Rattus norvegicus: one gene and its partner. The protein of the gene in region 1 interacts with the protein of each later gene in a biochemical or structural test. Links are inferred from orthologs where the notes say so. Each region holds a gene or a part of one and is shown in the gene's direction. Other genes may lie near its edges.

Region 1 (5,228 bases):
ACACACACACATATGGAGGTACATTCAACTATAAATAAAAATAGAACTTTTTCTTTAAAGGAGAGGAGATAAGGAACATTGCATGTCCCTTGGAGCCTGGCCCAGCAATTGTGGCCTGAGGAAAATGGGGCAGGAGCCCGAGAGGCACAATGTGACATTTGAGCGCAAACTTACAGATGGAGTTAGAGGGTAGCGGGTGGGTGTGAGAGTCACAAACACAGGGTAGGCAAAATGGCGCATCTGATGAGGCGTTCTCGCCCTCCGCTGAGCCTACCAATCTGAGTTCAATCCCCAGACACCCAGGTTGTGGAAGGAGCGAACCTGTTCCTGAAATTGTCTTCCTACCTCCACACCTGAGCTGTAGCACACACACACATACACTAAAAAGTAAAAACAAAAACAGAGTCAGAAACACAATGGCGTGGTCTAAGGACAATAATGGTGGGTGAGTGGTGAAAACAAAGTAGTTCAAAGTACAAGTTGCATGTGTGTGTGTGTGTGTGTGTGTGTGTGTGTGTGTGGTGTGTGCGCGTGTGTGTCTGTTTGTGTGGTATATACCATAATAGACTGCAGTACTGAGAGAGGGACTAGGTCTTTTTTTTTTTTCCCCTCTTTTTTCTTTTTTTCAGAGCTGGGGACCGAACCCAGGGCCTTGCGCTCGCTAGGCAAGCGCTCTACCACTGAGCTAAATCCCCAGCCCCGGGTCTTCTTGACAACAAAAACATGACAGTGTAGCCCTTTATTAGTCCTAACACTCAGAGACAGGCAGATGTCTGCAAGTTTGAGGCCAGCCTGGTCTATAAAACGAGTTTTAGGCCTCAGGGTCAGCTGAGGCTACGTAGTAAGACCTCAGCTAAAGAACTAAAACAAAACTTAATCTTCTCGTGGTAAACCGTTTGTTGAGGACCAGTGCTCAGGAAGGAGGGACATGGGGATTCCAGAGGCTTCGGAGGGAGCCCTGCTGTGACTTGCTGTGTCTATGAGGTTCTGCTTGATTTCACTTGACGAAAAGTTTCCACAGCTAAACCAGGCAAGTGAGCAACGCAATTACAGCCAACGAGGCCACCAACAGTTTTCCTTCTGCTGCTCAAAAGCTTGTCTGAAGAAACCCTCTGAAGGGGACTGTGGTTGTGAGTGGGGGTGGGGGTGATGAGCTGAAGGTTGACTGTAAGGAGTTGGAACCTCTCAGCTTCAGTAGCTAGGCAGGGGACTTGTACTGAGAAGGGACAGACACCCTTCATGGTAGAGGTGAGTGGAATGAAAATCTAGGTTTCCCCCAGAGCTTGGCAAAGTGTGTGTGTGTGTGTGTGTGATGTCTCCCAGGTAGTCCCCCAATTGGGGACTAGCAGAGCTGAGGAGGGCAGGAAGTGGGTAACTAGACTAACAAAGACGGCGGTTTGCCCTTCCCAGGTGGGAGGGTGGGGACCAGCCTTGGGCCTGAGCCTCCTGTGAACTCGTTGCTTGAGGGCTCGGAGTAAACCCAGTGGGAAACTAGAATTCCACTTTTCAGCTCTTCTGTCTACGGCCAATGGGGGCCTCTGAGCTGACAATCTCAGGTAGTTTTTGTAGTTTCCTGGGCTGTGCTCTAGGATGTCTGATGTTGGGGGAACTGGCTTAGGGGGAGCTCCTTCAGGCCTCTCTACATTCCTTCAGGGATCATGGGCTGTGTCTGCAGCTCAAACCCCGAAGATGACTGGATGGAGAACATTGACGTGTGTGAAAACTGCCACTATCCCATAGTCCCACTGGACAGCAAGAGTACGGTAAGAGGAAGATGGGATTGGTGAAGGGATGGGGGGATAGGAGTGGTGAAGGGAGGGGGGAGATAGGATTGGTGAAGGGATGGGGGGGATAGGAGTTATGAAGGGATGGGGGCTGGGAGGGATGGGATTGGTGAAGGGATGGGGGATAGGATTGGTGAAGGGGTGGGGGTTGGGGGATCGGATTGGTGAAGGGCTGGGGTGGGAGGGCAGATAGGATTAGTGAAGGGATGAGGGGAGATAGGATTGGTGAAGGGATGGGAGGAGAGAGGAGTGGTGAAGGGATGGGCAGGTGGGGGATAGAATTGGTGAAGGAATGGGGGTAGGATTGGTAAAGGGCTGGTGTGGGGGGTTTAGGATTGGTAAAGGGATGGCATGGAGGAAACATTGTGTATCCAGGGGGAAAAAATAAATAAACGGATCACAACTAAAGGCTCTGGAAATAGCAGCATTCCCATCTTCTCTGGAGTGCATCACAGAAGAGGTCCACATAGAGGAATGGACCTTCCTAAAGTCAAATGTGCACGCGCGCGCGCGCGCGCGCGCACACACACACACACACACACACACACACACACACACACACGCACACAGTTGGTGAATTCAGAGGCAAGGTCCAGCCAGACTGGAGAAATAGAAAGAGTATAGAGGGGAGGGGAACCAGGGTCAGATCCAGTTTTTTTTCTCTGATCCCAGCCTCATTTCCTACCCCACAGCTGCCCATCCGGACCGGCTCTGAAGTTCGGGACCCACTGGTCACCTATGAGGGCTCCCTCCCACCAGCCTCCCCGCTGCAAGGTGACTCCATCCACAGCGTGTGAAACATAATAACAGCAGACTGTGGAGGCTTGCCCGTTCCTGTCCATACCCTCTTCCCCATCTCTCCACTTAGTCTGCATCCTGTGTCTCTAGAACGTCACTGTTCCTGTCAGCCCCAGGCTGGGTCCTCTTGACTCCTTCTCTCTTTACAGACAACCTAGTTATTGCCCTGCACAGCTATGAGCCCTCCCATGATGGAGACTTGGGCTTTGAAAAGGGTGAACAGCTCCGAATCCTGGAGCAGTGAGTATACCTCTAACCTACCTTGCCGTGTGTGTGTGTGTGTGTGTGTGTGTGTGTGTGTGTGTGTGTGTGTGTGTTTGTGTGTGTGTGTGTGTCCTCAGCCCTCCTGCACCCCTGACTGGCTCTGGCCACAGCAGAGGGCTTTTGGAATGAGGTAGAAATCTCCAGAGTGCTTGATACGGGGGAGTGATGGCCTAGTCTAACTGGGGACTCTGAGGGGTTTCCAGTGGCTCTGTACACCGTGATGATGGTCTCTGTGGTGCAGGAGCGGTGAGTGGTGGAAGGCTCAGTCCCTGACCACTGGCCAAGAAGGCTTCATCCCCTTCAACTTCGTGGCGAAAGCAAACAGCCTGGAGCCTGAACCGTGAGCAGGAGACCTCTGTGGGGATGGGAGGGGTGGGGAGTAGGGGAGGCACATCCAGGGATCTCAGAACAGGGCGTGGTCCAGGGAGTGGGGGGAAGTTTGACTGGGATGGAGGAAGAATTGGACAAAGGTGGCACAGGCTTTTAATCCGAGCACTTCGGAGGGAGGGGTAAGCGAATCCCTGAGTTAAGGCCAGTCTGGTCTACAGAGGGAGTTTAAGGACAGCCAGGGCTGCACAAAACAAAAAAGAAAGAAATAGACCAACAGCCGATGGTCTTGCGTCTGCTTTACACAGTTGGTTCTTCAAAAATCTGAGCCGTAAGGACGCCGAGCGGCAGCTTTTGGCGCCCGGGAACACGCATGGATCCTTCCTGATCCGGGAAAGCGAAAGCACCGCCGGTGAGAGAGAGCCTGGTGGGCGGAGCCTCGGTGTGGGCGGGGCTGTGAGGTGAGGGCGGACGCCTGCGGGCGAGGAGATGGGCGGGGGGTGAAGAGCAGGAGGAAACGGGTGCGGTGGCCACCTGATTTATGGAAGGCAATCCGCCTCTTTTTCTTTTCCCTTTTCAACTAATCTCTTTCCTCCTACCCTCTCCAATCTTTCTTCAGGATCCTTTTCACTGTCAGTCAGAGACTTCGACCAGAACCAGGGAGAAGTGGTGAAACATTACAAGATCCGTAACCTAGACAACGGTGGCTTCTACATCTCCCCTCGTATCACTTTTCCCGGACTACACGATCTGGTCCGCCATTACACCAGTGAGCTCTGGCGGAATGCGTTCACCTGTGCCTTTCCTAGCAGCCTATCTACCCCCAGTCCTTCTTAGAGACCCTCCAAGCATCTTTCTTTCCCCTTCAATGGATGAGGGGTATAGTACCTGACCCTGGACCCTGCAGGCTAATGTTGGATGACCCACACGTCTCCCCTCCCATGTCAGTCTGTTATCCCTACGAATAAAGTGGAGAGAGGTAGGAGCTGAAGGGAGCATCCAAGGTCTCTAGTGACCGCCTTACCCTTCTCCTTTGTCCATGCAGACGCCTCTGATGGGCTGTGCACAAAATTGAGCCGTCCTTGCCAGACCCAGAAGCCCCAGAAACCATGGTGGGAGGACGAATGGGAAGTTCCCAGAGAGACATTGAAGTTGGTTGAGCGGCTGGGAGCTGGCCAGTTCGGGGAAGTGTGGATGGGTGAGTGTGGCTCTCTGTACTGATTGGAAAGAGGGGAGGAAGTGTGAGCTTCCTCTCACACTGGCCTATTCAGGGCGGCTGCCTGGTTCGTCAGGATCTTGACCTCTGTAACTCCTCTACCCGTATCCCGTCTCCCAGGATACTACAATGGACACACGAAGGTGGCAGTGAAAAGTCTGAAGCAAGGGAGTATGTCTCCTGATGCCTTCCTGGCAGAGGCTAACCTCATGAAGCAGCTGCAGCACCCGCGGCTCGTCCGGCTTTATGCAGTGGTCACCCAGGAGCCCATCTACATTATCACAGAATACATGGAGAACGGTGGGTATGCTTCCATGTCCAGCCGCTTGAGGGCGCTATTGTGGCCTCACTGCCTTTTGCACCCAGGCTAGGAATGTGCTTTTTTTCTCTGGCCTGCCACTGAAGGTTTCTAAGGACGCTTTCCTGGGCCCCTAGGCCTCTGATCTATCAGTTCTAATTCTGATAGTCCCTGATGTGCAGTTTCTGTTGCCTTCTGCCAATGCCCACCTGGATCCCAGAATGCTTGACCCAAGAAATAGTGTGCGGTGCCTGGTGCCTGAAGAGACCAGAAAAGGGTGTGGGATACCCTGGAGTTACAGACAGTGGTGAGCTACTGGAGATCAAACCCAGGTCCTCTGGAGGGACAGCCAGTGCTCTCCTCAAACACTGAGCCACCTTCTAGCCCCAACATGTAGTATGTTTGTGAAGGATCCAAGAGTCTGACTGCCCGGATAGAGTTGAGGCTTTATAATCTTGTATGGCTTTGGGCTGATCACATCATTGCTTTCTGCTGCAAATAGTTCTTTTTAATCTGTAAAATAGTGGGTTTAGGGCCAGCA
Region 2 (5,862 bases), on another chromosome or scaffold:
GGACCCACACAAACCTGAGGATGCCAACACTCTGTCACGGAGGGCAAGGGATTCGTGCAGCCCCACCCCAGCCTGAAGACTTCTATGCAGTTAATGGTTGGTAGGGAAGGGAGAGACATTGTCTTCAGTATGCAGACTCTGGGAAGCATGCTCCCCTAAACAACCCTAATGAAGCTCACTGGGACTGAAAACTAAAAAGGACATGAAAATGGAGGGCAGGAGAGAGATAGTTGGAAAGAGGAGAGGAGTTAAGTGTGAGGAGGGCCAAGGGAGGACAGGCCGAATGTGTAGAGAGTGTGGTCAGAATGCATTAACTACAATATGAAAATGTCATGTAATCCATTATGTGTGACTAATATATGATAACAGTGTTCCTCTTTCTAGTTTCATCACACACACACACACATACACACACACACACACACACACATTTAAACCTAGATTCCCTGTTTGAGGAACAAAAACATGTAAAACTTGCCTTCCTGAGTCTGGCTTAAATTTCATATTTTTATATAATTTTATTTATAGTTAACTTAGGATTTTTAAAGTATTTTATTTTATTTTTGAGATTGTTTTGGTATGTAGCCCAGATAGGCCTGGAATTTGTAGCAATTCTCCTATCTTAGCCTCCTGAGTGCTAGTGTTACACATATATGCCAGTATGCCCTGAAGAATGTTGTATTCTTTTTAAAAATAAAGTTTCCCCATATTTTGTATGTTTTAAAATAGTCAGATATTGCATTATTTACAGTAGCAATACATTTCCTTTTAATGCTAGATGAGGATAATCTCAGAGATATTGTTTTATTCTCAGGAAATATTGCTAGAGAATTATGGTTAATTTTAATTTATGTGAACCACAATTGAAATTCTTTATGTGGAATATTAACTTCAAGTTGCCTACCAAGGGCTCAATGAAGAGGGTACAGTGCGTTTTGTGTTCAAAATCATGATTTTCTGAAGGGAGTTTGAATAGTGCAATACCAGAAAGGATTGCTAATATCTTAAACAGAGGAAGTTTGTATCCAAACTACACCTTTCCCAGGTTTTTTTTTTTTTTTTTAAACTTGAAACTAATTTTGTAACATATCGTTTGTTCAACTTCCTCATTTGCGGGCATTTTCACACTGAATCAGATCTTGGGTGGGTTGATATGCAACCATTGAGGAGAGGATTTATGCAAACCGAGATGTGGAAGCGCTCTCTGGAACAACCTGCCTTGTCAAGGCACAAATGCCACAAATATGGATGGCTCCCTGAAACGGGGTCTTTTCCAAGACAGGGGCTGTAGGATCAAAATGTCAAAAAGGCTTTCTCTCTTTCTTTCATTCTTCCTCCCCTCTCTTTCCCTCTTCAGTTTCGGAGAGAGAGAGAGAGAGAGAGAGAGAGAGAGAGAGAGATCCCTTTGTTTCCCTGGTATCTCAAACTCCTAGACTCAAGTGCCCCTGCAGCTGAGACAGTCCTGAGTAGCTGGGACTCCAGACTGCACCGCTCTCCTCAATTCTCTCGAGGCAGGCTGGCCTAGAAACTGTAGATTCTCAGCAAGGTAGATTTTAGCTTTAGTTAGTTTTTGTTCCTTCGCTGTTTACTTGCAGTGCGTTCTGGGGGTACTGTGCTAACTGCCTGCCGGGTGCTTCCCATCCTACCGAAAGCAGTGCTCTCTATGTTTACAAAGCTACTGGAGGTCTGAAGAGGTACAGAGACCAACACTTCCCTTAATGGAGGCCAGTACTTACTTCCCCAGACATGGGTGAGACGACCTGTCAGAAGCAGTGGACTTTGCTTCCTCTAAAAGAAAATGTGAGGTTTATAATGGAGGCTCGACAAGTTCTGAAATAAAAATGCCCACTTGATAAGCAAGAGGTCTGCCATGATCATATCTACCAGAGACTTTGGGGATAATCGTCCAGGTAGAAGATAGGTAACTCCAGAGTCTGTCTCCTTTCCAGCAACAAGGCACGGGTGTCACCCAGGCCTTTGCTCACTGGGGGAACGTGGAAGGCCGAACTCCCAGGTTGGAACTGTACTTTCTGCCTCTCCTCTGGGAATCGAAGGAGAGCTGAGAGCTGTCTGAGTGACAGAGTGGAACAGACTCTGAGCTAAGCAGACCACAGTTTGTGTTCTGGTTAGCCTCTTGTTTGTTACATTTGAACAGTAGCCAAGTTTCTTTGTTGAGAAAGGAAGGCGCTAGGGCCCTGCAGGGAGAGGATGGCTTTGTTGTGTGACCACAGAAGCTAGTTTTGTACTAATTTCCTCTAGGGCTTGTGATGAAGTCAGTTAACCACAGCCTCCAGCACGCCCGGCTCATGCAGCAGTGGTGGCTTCTTGGTGGTGTCTTGGCCATGACACATATTTGACATGCCCTCCCTTAACCCACTCACAGACTCTTGCTCTACGGCATGGACCAAAGAGAAATTCTGCAGCAGCTACTGAAAGAGGCCCAGAAAAAGAAAATTAACAGGGAGGAGTTTGCCAATGAATTTCTGGTGAGTTCTGTAATGCTCTTAAGAGCAGTTGGATAAACTGTAACAGTCTGCTGGGATGGAGCTTGCCTAGACTCAGTTGCTGGAGAGACAACATGAACACAGAAGGGAGGAAGGTGAACTAAAGACATAACCTCTCTGGGTTTTGTTGTATCTGTGTGTTCAGGGTTTTCTCCAGGTATGCTGGTGTTAATGCGGGGTTTGCGTGTTCTTTGAGTGTAACAATCCTATAGAAGGTCCAGACAGATATATGAGTATTCATGCTTTCTGAGCATCTGGAGAAAGCATTTGCATTGTGATTTATGCTTCAAATTACTAATTTTAATTGATACTAAAAAGAAAGAGTAACTTTTCATGTTAAGTGTTATTTTTAGCTTCCTGGTAGGATATCGTTGGTATAACAGGCTTTTGAAAAATCACCCAAACTATCCTTTGCCACTTTTCCTCCTTTCCCTTTTGTAACAAGTTGATTATCAGAACGGGCATTTTCCTTTTTTACAGTAACTGGGTTTCTTTAACGTATACTGTCTGGAGAAGTGGACTGGGTAGAGTAGGGAGTAGAGAGGAGTGAGGGACACGGAGAGCAAGGCAGCCTGGGAGCAGGAGGACTTGATTACCCAGAACAATGAATCCACTTGGAGGGAGCCATAGTTGACAGTGCAATGAAGCTGGGTAGGCCATGCTCCGTCCAAGTCAGGCGTGCGGGATAGCATGATGACTGGCATACCAGTCGTGCTTTTGGTTTTTGGGTTTGCTTGTTTTGTTTGTTTGTATCGGTACCTAGCTCTGCCCGGCTTACAAATCACTATGTAGATTAGGTTTGGCCTTGAACTCAAAGATCCTCCTGCCTCTGCCTCAGAATGCTGGGATCAAAGGCATCTACCACACCGGCCTTTTGTGTTTTAAAATGCTTCTAATTGGTATTTCAGAACTATAAGAATGTTAAGCCTTAGCCCTTCAGCCTTGAATTGAGAAAAATGAAGCAAATTGACTTGGCCATCATCCAAATATCAAGTATTTAACATGTTCCCAAATCATCCTAAATCTTTGTTTTCTAGCTTTTAAAAAATAAGGATAATAATTTATGTCCTATCTACCCTCATTTTGGATTGTTGTGATGATTACATATCAATAATTATAATAATTAAATGAGTACTATGGAGACGCCTAGAGACCCATTTACTTGGAAAGCTGAGGTGGGTTAAATCTTGAGTTCAAGGCTAGCCCAGGCAGCTTAGAGGGACTTGTCTCAAAAAAGGGATCATTCCATAATATTTACTGAGCACTTACTGTGTACCAACTTTGTTTCTTCACGCTAAGATACAATAGTAAACAAAATGTCTTTGCTTTCCAGCGCTAACGTTCCAGCACCAGATAAATTAGACGAGATGCTTTCACTGAACAGATAGTGTGATTAGATATCACAGCAGGCTAGTGTATAGTGGTTCAACTTCGATGCTAAAATGTTATGCCAGCTCAACTTGCATAAGGTCATGGTGTCATTAAAATCTTTTCTTTCTGCCACAAGTTCTCAGGTTAGATTAGCCACAGGGTAGAGTTGCCAATGTGTCTGCTTAGATACAAACATGCCTGTTTACTGTATTATTGAGACATTCTTGTGACAATTTATAAGATACAGAGGGGAACGGGAGCTGAGAGGCAGTGCCCGCTTTGTCTTATTTTGATTGTATTTTTCAAAACAGAGCAGACTATATCTCTAATATTTTAACCACTTGTAGATGTCATGATAGTTTCTTACCAAACCGGCAGCTACCTCCTGCCTCTCTTTCTAGCCTTGTCCCACCTTAGTTAATTTCTTAGACAAGGTCTCACTATGTAGTCAGAGCTGGTCTGGAACACACTATGCCGACCAGACTAGCCTTGAACTCAGAGATCCACCTACTGTTGCCTCCTGAGTGCTGAGATTAAAGGGGTACACCACCACGCCAGGCTCCAAAGTGGTTTTTTTAATAACATAAATCCGGTTATATTGGTCTCAGCTTAAAAGAACCTTTTATAGCTTGTATTTTCTAGCTGCTTGTAATTGTGAACTACGATATATATTTAGAAAACTACATGAAATGTGTGAATGAAGTTATAAAGGAACCATTGCCAATGTAGTCACTGCCCAGATTAAAAATAATTGCAGTACTGTCTAACTCCGAGAGATTCCCGACTGTCCCTTCTACAGATGGCTTCTCCACCCACCTCACCCTCACCCCACCCGACTCAAGGGTAAATCACTGTCCTGGTTTTATACTAATCATTTCCTTGCCCTTCTAGTTCCTTATGTTTGAGAACCTTCTTTTGGGGAGGTGATTAAGTGGAACCTCACTGTTCACTGACTCATGTCCTCCAGTGGAAAAAACAAAGAGTTTTACCCTAAAGCCCCACCTAAAGGCTCAACTGAGACACAAGAAAAATAGCTTTCAGAGAGAGGAGCTATTGGCCAGGGAAATGCCGCCATCCCACTGGAAGGTTCCCACTTGACTTCTGCCTCCAGTCTACTTGAAGCCCTTGTGTGTATGAGATTTCAGAATGAATTCTGTGACGTAAGGGCACTGGTAACTGCCTTAGTGGCAATTACCATACAGCATTTACACTTAAATGTAGATTTCCTGTCCTGACTTTTGTTGTTGTTGAGTTTTCATTATGTGGCTCTGGCTGCCCTGGAACTCACTCTGTAGACTAGGCTGGCTTCAAACTCTCAGAAATCTGCCTGCCTCTGCCTCCTATGTGACAGAATTAAAGGCACGTGCCACCAAGCGTACTATGCTCCCTTAAAGACAGATTTGCATTTTGTGTGTATATACGTATTGTTTTGCCTGCATGTGTATAGCATGGAGTTAGTGGAGGCCAGAAGATGGAGCTGGATGCCTTGGAACTGGTGTTGTGAATCACTGGGTGGATGCTGCGAACTGAGTCTAGGACCTCAGCTTTAAGCAGCAAGTGAGCCATCTACTGAACCATCTTTCCAGACCTTTCTTTATTTTTATATTTTTAAATGTGCGTGTGTGTGTGTGTGTGTGTGTGTGTGTGTGTGTTCACACACATGTAGGTGCCACAGCGAGAGTGTGAAAGTCAGAGAACACCTTGGGAGATTGAGTTCCCTTCAGAATGTTCTAAATTACACTTATGCATCTGTTTAGTCAGTAGGGGGTAAGGTATGTATGCCATGGCTCATGCATGGAGGTCAGAGGACATATATCAGTGCCTGACTAGCACACTCGAGGCCCCGAACTCAACTCTCTAGCACCGCACACTCACAAAAAAGAAAGCCACACAGCTCACAGTCATAGAACTAAAAGTTCAAACAATACACCAGCTAGTATCACAACCCCTGCCCTTGTTACTTGTCGCCTCCTGCCTCTATTTGATC

The links.
Region 2: of the proteins of Lck (region 1) and Ptpn22, one has a biochemical effect on the other in vitro, tested with the Homo sapiens proteins (3 studies listed by IntAct, with this or other methods). The link is inferred for Rattus norvegicus from reciprocal best matches to the Homo sapiens genes LCK and PTPN22.

Annotation. Positions count from the first base shown.
Region 1 is NC_086023.1:147,179,862-147,185,089, reverse strand, and holds part of Lck (proto-oncogene tyrosine-protein kinase LCK), read left to right. Parts: intron 1-1,418; exon of another isoform or gene 1,419-1,528; coding exon of another isoform or gene 1,529-1,556; exon of another isoform or gene 1,557-1,653; coding exon of another isoform or gene 1,654-1,658; coding exon 1,659-1,763; intron 1,764-2,476; coding exon 2,477-2,558; intron 2,559-2,731; coding exon 2,732-2,822; intron 2,823-3,087; coding exon 3,088-3,186; intron 3,187-3,481; coding exon 3,482-3,585; intron 3,586-3,792; coding exon 3,793-3,942; intron 3,943-4,197; exon of another isoform or gene 4,198-4,218; coding exon 4,219-4,371; exon of another isoform or gene 4,372-4,509; coding exon 4,510-4,689; exon of another isoform or gene 4,690-5,228. UniProt on the Homo sapiens protein: Non-receptor tyrosine-protein kinase that plays an essential role in the selection and maturation of developing T-cells in the thymus and in the function of mature T-cells. Plays a key role in T-cell antigen receptor (TCR)-linked signal transduction pathways.
Region 2 is NC_086020.1:194,052,957-194,058,818, forward strand, and holds the start of Ptpn22 (tyrosine-protein phosphatase non-receptor type 22), read left to right. Parts: upstream 1-2,287; 5' UTR 2,288-2,399; coding exon 2,400-2,486; intron 2,487-5,862. UniProt on the Homo sapiens protein: Acts as a negative regulator of T-cell receptor (TCR) signaling by direct dephosphorylation of the Src family kinases LCK and FYN, ITAMs of the TCRz/CD3 complex, as well as ZAP70, VAV, VCP and other key signaling molecules.